Neurospora crassa OR74A: one gene and its partners. The protein of the gene in region 1 purifies or fractionates together with the protein of each later gene. This does not show direct contact. Links are inferred from orthologs where the notes say so. Each region holds a gene or a part of one and is shown in the gene's direction. Other genes may lie near its edges.

Evidence for each region. Proteins that work in one complex are often made in the same cells at the same time.
Region 2: the proteins of NCU04041 (region 1) and NCU03321 purify together in Saccharomyces cerevisiae (affinity purification with mass spectrometry, with the first as the bait; 3 studies listed by BioGRID). This does not show direct contact. The link is inferred for Neurospora crassa OR74A from reciprocal best matches to the Saccharomyces cerevisiae genes MAK5 and ERB1.
Region 3: the proteins of NCU04041 (region 1) and NCU03764 purify together in Saccharomyces cerevisiae (affinity purification with mass spectrometry; 5 studies listed by BioGRID). This does not show direct contact. The link is inferred for Neurospora crassa OR74A from reciprocal best matches to the Saccharomyces cerevisiae genes MAK5 and YTM1.

The regions. Positions count from the first base shown.
Region 1 is NC_026506.1:2,535,041-2,539,215, forward strand, and holds NCU04041 (ATP-dependent RNA helicase mak-5), read left to right. Parts: upstream 1-1,365; 5' UTR 1,366-1,448; coding exon 1,449-1,673; intron 1,674-1,734; coding exon 1,735-3,927; 3' UTR 3,928-4,063; downstream 4,064-4,175. Other genes in the region: NCU04040 (tRNA (uridine-2'-O-)-methyltransferase TRM7), read right to left, coding at 1-656, 726-828. UniProt on the Saccharomyces cerevisiae protein: ATP-binding RNA helicase involved in the biogenesis of 60S ribosomal subunits and is required for the normal formation of 25S and 5.8S rRNAs. Required for the maintenance of dsRNA killer plasmid.
Region 2 is NC_026501.1:5,301,441-5,305,602, forward strand, and holds the start of NCU03321 (eukaryotic ribosome biogenesis protein 1), read left to right. Parts: upstream 1-1,350; 5' UTR 1,351-1,414; coding exon 1,415-1,809; intron 1,810-1,879; coding exon 1,880-2,119; intron 2,120-2,192; coding exon 2,193-2,305; intron 2,306-2,365; coding exon 2,366-3,578; intron 3,579-3,645; coding exon 3,646-4,024; 3' UTR 4,025-4,162. Other genes in the region: ada-4 (all development altered-4), read right to left, coding at 98-164.
Region 3 is NC_026505.1:2,340,069-2,343,720, forward strand, and holds NCU03764 (microtubule associated protein), read left to right. Parts: upstream 1-1,367; 5' UTR 1,368-1,561; coding exon 1,562-3,025; 3' UTR 3,026-3,140; downstream 3,141-3,652. Other genes in the region: NCU03763 (DNA polymerase delta subunit 2), read right to left, coding at 1-553, 609-918, 984-1,033; NCU03765 (3'-5' exonuclease/helicase), read right to left, coding at 3,399-3,652. UniProt on the Saccharomyces cerevisiae protein: Component of the NOP7 complex, which is required for maturation of the 25S and 5.8S ribosomal RNAs and formation of the 60S ribosome.

The DNA.
Region 1 (4,175 bases):
GATGAAGGCCTCGACACTGCTGGCGCGCGAAGAGCGGGGCTTGGCGACGTAAACCTTTTCGAAGAAGACCTTCAGCTGGGCGTAGAGAAGGTCGACGTTGCGGCCCCGGAAGATCTTGGCGACGAACTTGCCGCCAGGCTTGAGGACGCAGAGGGCGAGGTTGAGGGCTGCGAAGAGGAGCTGTGACTGGACGTAGATGTCAAGATCATGCAGGCCTGTGACGTCGGGCGCACCATCGCTGATGACCAGATCCACTGGGTGTGAGGCTTGCGGGTTCATGGTGCTTGGGTCGAAATCGGGGTCCAACGCCTTAAGCAAAAGCGGAACGGTGGCGGGATGTGTGATGTCGGCTCGGAGAGTGATGATTCCTGGCAGAGGGCTGATGGGCTGCAAGTCGATGGACACAATCTTGACCTGTTCCCTGGGAGCCGGCGTGCTCTCCTGAGTCGCCTGCACCCTCTGAACCTCATCCTGAGCGTCTTGCTTCTCGGGAAAGACGTTGAGCATCTGTTGGCGGAACTTGGCCTCACGGTCTTGCCAAGCACACCGGCCGAACTTCTCTCCCTTGATGAGAACCCTCGATAGAACCTGAGACCAGGAACCGGGGGCAGCGCAGAGATCGACCACACGAGTGACATTTTCAAACAAGTTGAATTCTGATGGGAACGCTCGGTGTTAGCGGTGATACACTTCTTTACATTACATATGCAATAAACAGTTCTTACCTTCGTCTAGTTGAAGAAGCTTGAAGGCACTTCTGGCACGCCATCCTTGCTCCTTTGCAAGGCGATAGTAGGCATCACGCTTGTCTTTTGATGATTTCCCCATTTTGAATGCTTCGCTCTCACTTACTTGTGTCGAATAATGAAGTGCCGCGAGTGGGTGACGAGAGTGAATGACGGGAGCTTGTGAAAGAGACTGGGCCCCACTTTTGCCTGGTGACGGGTCGCTGTCGCTGGGCGCCGATTTGGGTCCGTCTGCTGCAAATAGTCACCGCCAAAAAGGATTCTGCCGGCATAATTATCGAGCACCTTGGCGGCCCCAGCACTCGCACACCATAGACGCGCATACTTGGAGGGAAGGACTTTGGCGATAAACGAAAGCTTTGAATCATAAGATGTCGTCTCATGTTTTGTTTCCTCCATCAAAGTCAGACTGATTGTTTCCACGTCCTATTCTGTCGGCACCCTCTACACTACAAGCTTGTTAGCCAGACCTGGAATAGGTAGGCGGTGTCATTTACAGCACATGGGCTAGCCTGTTCCAGCTAGAGGCTGCTGCAACCCAGCTGCAAGGTGGAGCCAAAATTTCCATTTCACTTTTACAGCCATTTTCACTGAGCAGTGTCAACAACACCCTTCAAATCAAAGTTCATCAGTGCATCCAACAACCTCAAGCACTCAAACCCGACACCCTTTTCCACCCGAAAACGACGACATATTCACACCATGGCCGTCGATAAGAAGCGCAAGAACACAAAAGCCCCCGCCAGCGGGCCAAAGCGCCGCAAGACGCAACCGTCGTCTAAGCAGATCAAGCGACCTGTTTCCGTTGATGCGCTGGCATGGAAGACGGTCGACATTCCTGAAATGTTCGATGATGCGGAGGGTTTCTTTGGTTTGGAGGAAATTACCGGTGTTGACATTGTAAAGGATGGCGATGTTGTCAAGTTCGTAAGTTGGGTCATGGATGATGACAGCGACAGGACATGAATGAACTCACATATGTCTTTAGATGGCTGCGGTCCCCAAGTCGGAGGCAGAGGTAGAAGATGACGGCGAAGAGTTTGGTGGTTTCGACGACGAAGAGACACCGAAACCTGCTGGAAATGCGGACCAGGAAGTCAAGACATCAGAAACCAAGGCCGAAGCTGCGAGTACTCCAGCCAAGGAAAAGAAGGCCTCCAAGGACCAGAGGAAGCCAAAGGAGCAGCAAAAGCAGCAAAAGCAGCAAAAGCAACAGCCAAAGAAGGAGCAGCCAAATAAGGCAGCGAATAAGAAGAACGCCGAGGACAAGAAGAAGGCCCGCAAGAACGAGAAAACTACTGTCGAGCCGAAGGACCCCGAACTAGAAACCGATCTTTTCACCAAACTGGAGGAGCTTCCTGAGCCTGAAGAGGAGGAAATTGATATGTCCGAATGGGTGCCACTCGATTTGTCACCTCGTATGATCTCGTCCATCGCCAAACTCAGGTTCTCCAAGCCCACCGTGATTCAGTCCAAGGCTATTCCCGAGATCATGGCTGGTCACGACGTTATCGGAAAAGCATCCACCGGTTCGGGAAAGACGTTGGCATTCGGAATTCCCGTCATCGAAAGCTGGTTGAGCGCTGCTGAGACGAGGAAGCAGAACAAGGAAGAGAGAAAGGGCGCTACAGCGCTGATTTTGTCACCCACCAGAGAACTTGCCCAGCAGATCAGAGACCATCTTCAAGCGCTTTGCAAAGGTCTTCCTACAGCACCTTACATTTGCTCGGTTCTTGGTGGCATGGCCGTACAGAAGCAAAAACGACAGCTCCAGGTCGCCGATATCGTCATTGCGACCCCGGGCAGAATGTGGGAGGTTATGAGCTCAGATAACTCTGTGCTCGCTTCTCTGAGGAACATCTCCTTCCTCGTGTTGGATGAGGCAGATAGACTTCTTAAGGACGGTCACTTCAAGGAGGCCGAGGAGATTTTCAAGGCTCTTGACAGGCCACCGGTGGAAGAGAACAATGAGGATCAGAAGATGGGCGGTACTGATGAGGAGGGACAGGAAGAGGAAGAAGAGGACAGCGAGGAGGAGGAGGAGGAGGAGGAAGAGCACGTCAACAAGAGGCAGACTCTCATTTTCTCCGCCACGTTCAACAAGAACTTGCAGCAAAAGTTGGCCGGAAAATCCAAGTTCAAGGCGACGAGCACCCAGGACATGGAGTATCTTCTCCAGAAGCTGAACTTCCGCGAAACCCCCAAGTTTGTCGACGCCAATCCCGTCCACCAAATGGCCGAGAACCTCAAGGAGGGTCTCATTATGTGCGGCGACATGGAGAAGGATCTCTACCTCTATGCCACTCTCATGCTCCAGCCCACACGGCGCGCGCTTGTATTCACCAACTCGGTCAACTCTGTCCGTCGCCTAACCCCCCTCCTCGAGAACCTCAATCTTCCAGCCTTCCCTCTCCACTCGGGCATGATCCAGCAAGCCCGTCTGCGCTCTATCGACCGCTTCAAGGCCAACGAAGGCGCAAAGAAAAAGAACGGTTCTGCAGCTATCCTGGTCGCTACCGATGTTGCTGCCCGTGGTCTCGATATCCCCGACGTCGACCTCGTCATCCACTACCACGTCCCGCGCGCCGCCGAGGACTACGTGCACCGCTCCGGCCGTACCGCCCGTGCCTCCAACTCGGGCACGAGCATCCTGCTCTGCGGGCCCAAAGAAGCCGTGCCGACGCAGCGCCTCGTTGCCAAGGTGCACGCCCAGGCCGAGGTCAAGGCCGGCAACTCGGGCAACAACACCAAGAAGCTCGTTTCGAGCGGACTTCGCACCATCGATATCGACCGGCGCATCGTCGCCAAGTTGCGGGAGCGCGTCGACTTGGCCAAGAAGATCGCGGATGCGGTGCAGGCCAAGACCATGGGTGGAAAAGAGGACGATTGGATGAAGAAGGCGGCAGAGGACTTGGGCGTCGACTATGACTCGGAAGAGCTTGAGAAGGCGGGCAAGTGGGGTGGCAAGGGTAGCTCCAAGAAGCAGAAGCAGAAGGAGGCACAGCAGATGAGCAAGGGCGAGTTGGCGTCGCTGAGGGCTGCGTTGAGAGACCTCTTGAGCAAGAGGATCAACACGGGCGTCAGCGAGAGGTACCTCACTGGACTGGATGTTAGTGAGCTGCTGAAGGGCGAGCAGGGGCTGTTTTTGGGCCAGGTGGACGGATTGGGCTTGGATGATTAGACGCAGATTCATGGCTGTGGTATTGCATGTTTCCTTTCACGGTTAACCATTTAATTCTGAGCGGTGATCTACATATAGTATCCGGTCTCTTCACTCTGAGTAAGATGTCTTGTATTTTTTCTCTCGTGTTTTGTTCTATAAGGCACTAAAAGAACAGTTCACGTCTTGGACTGTGCTGCCAAGTGAGACAGGGTCCATGGGTCCATCAAGGTCTCCATCTTCCCCATGGCCTAGATTCTCAGTTGCTG
Region 2 (4,162 bases), on another chromosome or scaffold:
TTAGATACATTAGTGCGGTTGGGCAGTCATGGTTGCTGACTAGAGGGTAGAGGTAGATGAATATATGGATCGAAACGGGGAGCGGGACGAAACATACGGCACTCGTCACAGGCACGGCGTTTCACCGGCTCTTTCTCCTTAGTGACTTCGCTGTTTGAGATCATGGCTGTTTTCCGCAACCGGCCTTTCCTTTATTTTGCTTTTTTTTTCTCCCCTTCTTTTCCGCGGGCGTAGATGTGTGGTGGATAAAAAGGGTTGAGTGGTAAGGTAAACGTCTAAGGCTCTCCGCAAGCCCCGCTTAGAAGACACAGAAATCGCCCCGGTGGTACTCCAAGACACTATCTATGTAGACGCTAGTGTGGTGTACACAGTAGATGGGCAAACAGCATGGATATGTACGTTGTAACAAGGGACCTAGGATGATAGGATCGACTCGTTTTCAGAGGAGGGCAAAGAAAGCAGATTTCAGACAAGATGCTCCAGGCCCGCAATGTTAACGAGCCAACGCAAGCAATCAAAGATCACCTGGTCGCGCCAGACCTGATGCCATATTAATAAGCCGCAATTGACACAGATAATGCAGAGACTGACTTTTGTTGCCGCGTTGCCTCAAATGGCACTGGTAGTGTATCAGTCAAACACCCAGGCCTTTGGACATATATGTGGCTCACTGGCCAAAGGCATGAATGATGTCCTTTTGCTAGTTATGGGATGACTATAGCGTGGGTTTTATGGCAGTAGTGTAGTGTGAAGGTGTCGAGTAACCCTAGCCCATCAAGGTTCCCTAGCAGGCGTCGTGCTACACTACATATTGTCAACTGCCATGCTTGGAAAGCGCAAAAAGACGGCGATGGTGACAAAAACCGTAGTGTAAGAGGCAATGGGGTAAAATTCGAACAAAAGTCTGTAATTACAAGCGATCCATGGAGACTCAATCTGATCACGCCGGGTATTTGATTGATGCTGGTTTGCCAGTTTTGACTGCCAATACCCACAGAACGGGCAGGACGAACTACAGAAGTGGAATCGTGCGTGGTTGAAGCCAGGTGTAGGGGTGCAGAGGGATGCTGCATCGAGGTTGGAGTTCGGTATTCATCTCATCCATGATATACAAGTAACAAATAAGGCTAAAAATTTGAAGTCGGTATCAGAGGGACGGAGACACGGAGTGCATGCTCCTGGCTTCATTTGTCTTTTGACACGCTAAACCGATAGGGTAATATGTTATGGTTCTTTAGCTGCCAGAAATGCCAAGGGCGGTGAGACCAACTCGTCCCCGCCATGAGCTGTAGAACCGGCAGAAAAAAAAGTCCCAGGCCAATTCGTATGCTAGGAATTTTCGACGCCTATCGCTGCGACGCTATCTGGGTGTTTTACCAGCAGAAAACACGCCAAAAATCAACACACATTCACAATGGGGCCAAAAGCCACCGAGAAGAAGCGAAAGGTCCAGGACGCCGAGCCTGAGTCCGACGACGAGATTGCACCCGATTTTGACGGCGCCCTGTCGCAGAGCGAAGACGAGTTCGATTCTGACTTCGACGACAATGAGCACGAACAGGACGGCGAGCAGGAAAGCGGAAGTGAGGCCAGCGACGACGAAGATGAGGAGGGCTCCCTACTAAGCGACGACATTCCCTCCGATGCTGAGGGCGACAAGGCAATGGGCAAACTTGTTCTCGAGGACGAAGAAGAGGAACTCGAGATTGAGATACCCGGAGTCGACCCCAAGCGGCCGGAGAAGGATGATGGAGACAAGAACTATCGGATCGAAAAGGACGCGAACGGCAACGAGCGCTACGTCTACGAGTATGTTGTTGTTCTGCAAATGGATCAAATATCGTTCCATGCCAGCATAGTTAACTCGAGAATGCAACAGTGAGATCGACCCCGTCTACGATTCGGACGATTCCGATGCCCAAGAAGCGCCAAACACCATCGGCAACATCCCCATGAGCTTCTACGACAGCTATCCCCATATCGGCTATGATATCAACGGCAAGAAGATTATGCGCCCGGCCACTGGCGACGCTCTTGATGCTCTCCTCGACAGCATCGAAGTGCCCAAGGGCTGGACTGGCCTTACGGATATTCACACCGGCAACCCTCTCAACCTCAAGTATGCACCCAACCCATCCTCCTTTGTCTTGCTCGGTTTCTTCGGGTCACGCTTACTGACTGCCATACCGTAGTGATGATGAATTGGAGCTTGTTCGCCGTGTCCAGATGGGTATGATTCCCAACGAGCTGGAAAACCCCTACCCTGAAACCGTGGAATACTTTACTGGTATTGAGGAGAAAATGCGTAAGTCAAAATCTATCTACACTTATCGTTGTTGAAATGGTGCAACTAACAAGTCAATAGCCCTGAGCGCTGCCCCTGAGCCCAAGCGTCGCTTCCTCCCCTCCAAGAACGAGGCCAAGAAGATTATGAAGCTTGTTCGCGCCATTAGGGAAGGCAGGATCCTGCCCTACAAGCCCCCTGAGGAGCGCGAGAAGGAGGAGGAAGAGGAGGAGCAGTACTTTGATATCTGGCAGGATGAGGTGCCACAAGAAGTCAACCCCTTGCACATCCCGGCACCCAAGCTGCCTCCTCCTGGTTTCGACATGAGTTACAACCCGCCCGCAGAATACCTACCGACCAAGGAGGAGAGAGAGGAGTGGGAGAAGCTCGACCCCGAGGAGCGCGAGAAGGAGTATCTCCCTCAGAAATACGACTCTTTGCGGAAAGTTCCCGGTTATGGCGAGATCGTCAAGGAGAGATTCGAGAGGTGCATGGACCTTTACCTTGCTCCTCGTGTGCGGAAGAACAGGCTCAACATCGATCCCAACTCGCTCCTGCCCAAGCTTCCTTCGCCTTCTGAGCTCAAGCCTTTCCCTACAGTTGCCCAAACAGTTTTCCGCGGCCATGACGGCCGTGTAAGAAGCGTTGCCATCGACCCTACTGGTGTTGCTGTCGCTAGCGGTGGCGACGACGGTACGGTACGTGTGTGGGAGCTGTTGACGGGTCGCCAAGTCTGGTCCGTCAAGCTCAGCAGTGAGGAGGCTGTCAACACCGTTAGGTGGAGGCCCGCGAAGGACTCTTTCATTCTCTCCGCTGCTGTGGGTGAGGATGTCTACCTCATGGTTCCTACACACGCCAGCGTTACTCCTGCTTTGGACCAGGCTAGCAGAGATATCCTGTCGGCTGGCTTCGGTTATGCTACAAACGGTCAGCAACACGGCGCTGCTCCCGGCAAGGAGCCTCCTGCCAAGTGGGCCCGCCCCGGTGCTAAGCTCGAGGATGAGGGTGTCTTGATCAGGATCACAGTCAGGTCGACCGTGAAGGTCATCAACTGGCACAGGAAAGGAGACCATTTTGCGACAGTATCGCCTTCCGGACAGAGGAGCTCCGTAGCCATCCATACGCTCTCCAAGCACCTCACCCAGATTCCCTTCCGCAAGCTTTCTGGCTTGGCTCAGACAGCGTCTTTCCATCCCCTCCGTCCTCTCTTCTTCGTCGCCACTCAACGAACAATTCGCTGCTACGACTTGCAGAAGCTCGAGCTGGTCAAGGTTGTCCAGCCTGGCGCGAAGTGGTACGTATCCCCATGGCTAGCCGGATAATGTGACTGGAATTGATTTGCTAACTCTGTTGACTTGTAGGATTTCTTCGTTCGATATCCACCCCGGCGGTGACAACTTGATTGTTGGCAGTTACGACAAGCGTCTCTTGTGGCACGATCTGGATCTTTCCATTCGTCCGTACAAGACGATGAGGTTCCACAGCGAGGCGGTTCGTCAGGTCAAGTACCACAGGGGCGGCCTGCCGCTCTTCGCTGATGCCAGTGACGACGGCACTCTCCAAATCTTCCACGGCAAGGTCCCGAACGATCAGCTGGAGAACCCCACCATTGTGCCTGTCAAGGTGCTCAAGGGACACAAGGTCGTCAACAAGCTTGGTGTCCTGGATATGGACTGGCACCCGCGTGAGCCGTGGTGTGTGTCTGCCGGTGCTGACGGCACCATCCGTCTCTGGATGTAAAAGAACAGCGTTTAATGGGACGAGACAAAAGATGAACAAAACACAAGGAAGGAAAACGGAAGCGAGAGGACAGGTTAATCAGTCTGCTTGTCTTGATTGGCGTGCTCGGATGTGCTATTATTATGATTAGAAAGATAC
Region 3 (3,652 bases), on another chromosome or scaffold:
TTGTTACGGTGGTGGTGTCGAAGGCAGCCGCGGGTTTGGCCTGTTCGGCCGCCGTCGTGGAGATGGAGTTCCCCGCTATGATGAGGCGGGTGATGTGTGAGAGCTCGTCGCGTTGGACGGAGGGATCGAGCGCTTCGCCGAGGAGATACTCGAGAAGCAGGTTGAGTTCCATGGCGTAGGAGGTGTCGGCGTTGGAGAACTCGAGGCCGGAGACGAGGGCAATCTTTTTAGAGGAGGGCTTGTGGGACTGCCTGGAGAAAGAGGCGTCCATCATTTCGACGTCTTCGGAGGAGTCTGCTTCCTTTTTGCCTTTTGAGAGCGACCAGCGCTCGGGCTGTGGTGGTAGTTCGGCGAAGAGGAGGTCGATGACTTCGAATTCGCCGTTGGCGTTCTCGGTGCCCATTACCGCGACGATGCAGCCGGTCACCATGAAGTGGTTTTGCAGAGCGTTGCCGACAAGACGGATGCGGCCGGAGTCGTCTTCGAGCATTACCGAGTCTTCGCCGTTGCCGGAGTAGTAGTGGCCGACCGAGGTGGGAGCGGAGATCCAGCGCTATAACATCATTGTCAGCTGCCTGGTGTCCACCAAAGGATAGGCTGAAACTCACATCCTTGGAGACATCCTCGAGGATTGAGGGCTTTAGAGGCATGTCCATATATACTGTTCCAGCTACCCAGCATAGTTCTCCCTGGCGAACGTCTAGGACACGCTCGACCCTCTTGACCTTCTCACCACCAAGCACTGTTCCCTCCCAAGCGGCGCTGGCGGCTGCCTCGACGGCGGGCCTGATCTTTGTAAGACGCAAAAAGTAAATATCGGCATATTGTTGTTGATAGGGACGGGTTTTTTCGAGTTTGAAGGTATGAAGGGGCTTGTAGTTGGTGATCTGGCGCTGGAGAGCCTCGGGCGCATCGCCTCTTCGTGAAGTTGGGTTGTTAGCTGATGATCGCCAGTGGAAGATGGATGATCCACTGCTACTCACGAGGGCTTCTGTAGCAAACCGCTACCGAGAACTTCGTCCAAGGTGACCATCGTATGATTGATACTGACAATGGCTCAAGATGTGAGAACGACAAAAGCAATTGGTGACTTATTCATGTGCTGCCCGACTCGGAAACTGACTTCAAGGGACGAAACTCGACGACGCGCTTGACAATTTCGAGACGCGTAGCTCCAGTGGGTTCAATTAAGCCAGGTACATGACCGGTACTACTCTATACTAGTATAGTTTACATAGTAGCGGCGCTTCAGCACTGTGACCCTCACAGGAACCGTCGGCCCCGCTATAAAGTTCCGATAAGATAGGGGAACGTGGGGTAGCTAGAACACTCCAGACCCCTGCGCTGCAAGGCTGGACAGAAAAAATTGGATGGAGTCTTGGATTTGGCATGGCCTTGTGGTGTCCGCTGCAAAGTAAACATCCACACTCTCCTCCCGACGACGCCTGTTTCACGGTAATCTAAGCCAATCTGACTTTTACTTGTCAATTGATAGTATTCAGCCTGCCCATACCGAACAGCGACTACCCAATTCACATAATATCACAGCACAGGCACCGCCATGGACCACCCTACCGAATCAGGCGCCCAGGTCCGGGTGACCTTCACCACCCAGGAGGAGGACATCCAGCTCGATGAGAGCAAGCGCCAGCTCCTTGTCCCCGCCGACATCCGCCGTTATGGCCTCTCCCGTATTCTCAACTCCGAGTCCATGCTCGACACCAACTCGATCCCCTTCGACTTCCTTGTTAACGGCAGCTTCCTCCGCGGCAGTCTTGAAGAGTACCTCAACGCCAACGGCCTCTCGCTCGAAACCAACATCACCCTTCAGTACGTTCGCAGTTTGATCCCACCAACATACGAGGCCAGCTTTGAGCACGACGACTGGGTCAGCGCCGTCGATGTTCTTTCCGCTACTTCTCCCGCGGGCCGCTGGTCCGGCGACAACTTTCAGCGCGGCCAAGATCGCATCCTCTCCGCCTCGTACGACGGTCTCCTCAGGATATGGGACGCCTCTGGAAATGTGATTGGCACCTCGCCCTCGGGCAGCCACGGTGGTCACACTGCCAGCATAAAAGCTGCCAAATTCCTCTCCAGCACTCAGATTGCCTCGGCCGGCATGGACCGCACAGTTCGCGTATGGAAGTACACCGAGTCGGGCGAGTCGTACGAGCGTCGCGGCGAGCTGAAGCCCACTCTCGAACTGTACGGCCACACCTCCTCGATCGACTCGCTCGAGGTTGACGGCGCCTCGAAGCGCATCCTCACTGCCTCCGCCGACGGTTCCATCGGTTTCTGGACCACCTCCAAGGCGTCCGCGCCCGAAGTCTCCGATTCCTCGCTCCTTCCCGGCGCCCACACATCCAAGCGCCGCAAGCTCGCGACCTCCGTCACCGCCGCCCAGCGCGGCCCGCTCGCCCTTATGAACATCCACAATGCGCCCGCCACGGCCGCCGTCTTCGACCCCCGCGACCGCACCGTTGCCTACTCTGTGTCGCAGGACCATACCGTCAAGACCATCGACCTGACCACCTCCAGCGTGGTCAGCACCTTCACAACCTCGCATGCGCTCCTCTCTCTCGCTGCCCTGCCGCGCTCCTCGGCCTCGGCGCCCCTTCTCGCCTGCGGCACCTCCGCCCGACACATTACCCTCGTCGACCCGCGCACCAGCACGGCCGCGACGAGCGTCATGACGCTGCGTGGGCATGCCAACAAGGTGGTCAGTCTGGCGGCGAACCCGGAGAACGAGTACTCACTGGTTTCGGGCTCGCACGACGGGACGTGCCGGATCTGGGATTTGCGGTCGGTCCGGCCAGCGACCAAGGACGAGGGCGGCATGGGCAGCGTCAGCGAGCCCGTGTACGTTATTGATCGCGAGAGCCAGCAGGGCAAGAAGAAGAAGAGCAGTGTGACGGGCGACGGGTGCAAGGTGTTCAGCGTGGTGTGGGATCAGCTGGGCATCTTCAGCGGTGGTGAGGATAAGAAGGTGCAGATTAATAAGGGGAGGGGTGTGAATGCCGAGTAGAGGAAGAAAAATGGTCGGGAAAGAGGGGGTTGTTGATGAAGAGAAGGGAAGCAGCAGAACTTGGTTGTTATGATATACCCAGGATAGATAAAATGGAATGTGAATACTGTACAGGATATTTTTGTGATATCTGCAGGGACGAGGCCAAGAACAGCCGTGACAGATTCTTTCTGAACTAAACTGTACGCGAAAACTGTACTGACCTGGAGCATAGACTAGATGGCTTCTGCAGAGCCCAGTCAGGTTGTTCTGAGGATTATACAAGGTTCATCTACCAACGTCTAAAAGTAGCCAAGTCGGTCTCGGGGTATAGGTGCATCGTCGACATCTTTCCTTTCTTGTTCAGCACTCGACCAGCAGCTTGAGAGCCGGCTCAGTGACTTCTCGACATCTTCCTCAACCTCTCCACCTCTTCCTCATCAACCGTCGCTTGACTGCTGCTATTGCCCAGCGTCAACTCCTCATCAAAGTCCAAATCCCCAGCCTCCAACGCAGCCTTCATCACATCCTCCACGCTCTCTTCCTTCGGCTTTACCTCCACCTCTGCCTGTGTCTCATCTACCTCCTCACCCTCAACCTCCTCTACCTCACCTTCCTGCTCCTGCTCCTGCCCAAAAATCTCATCCA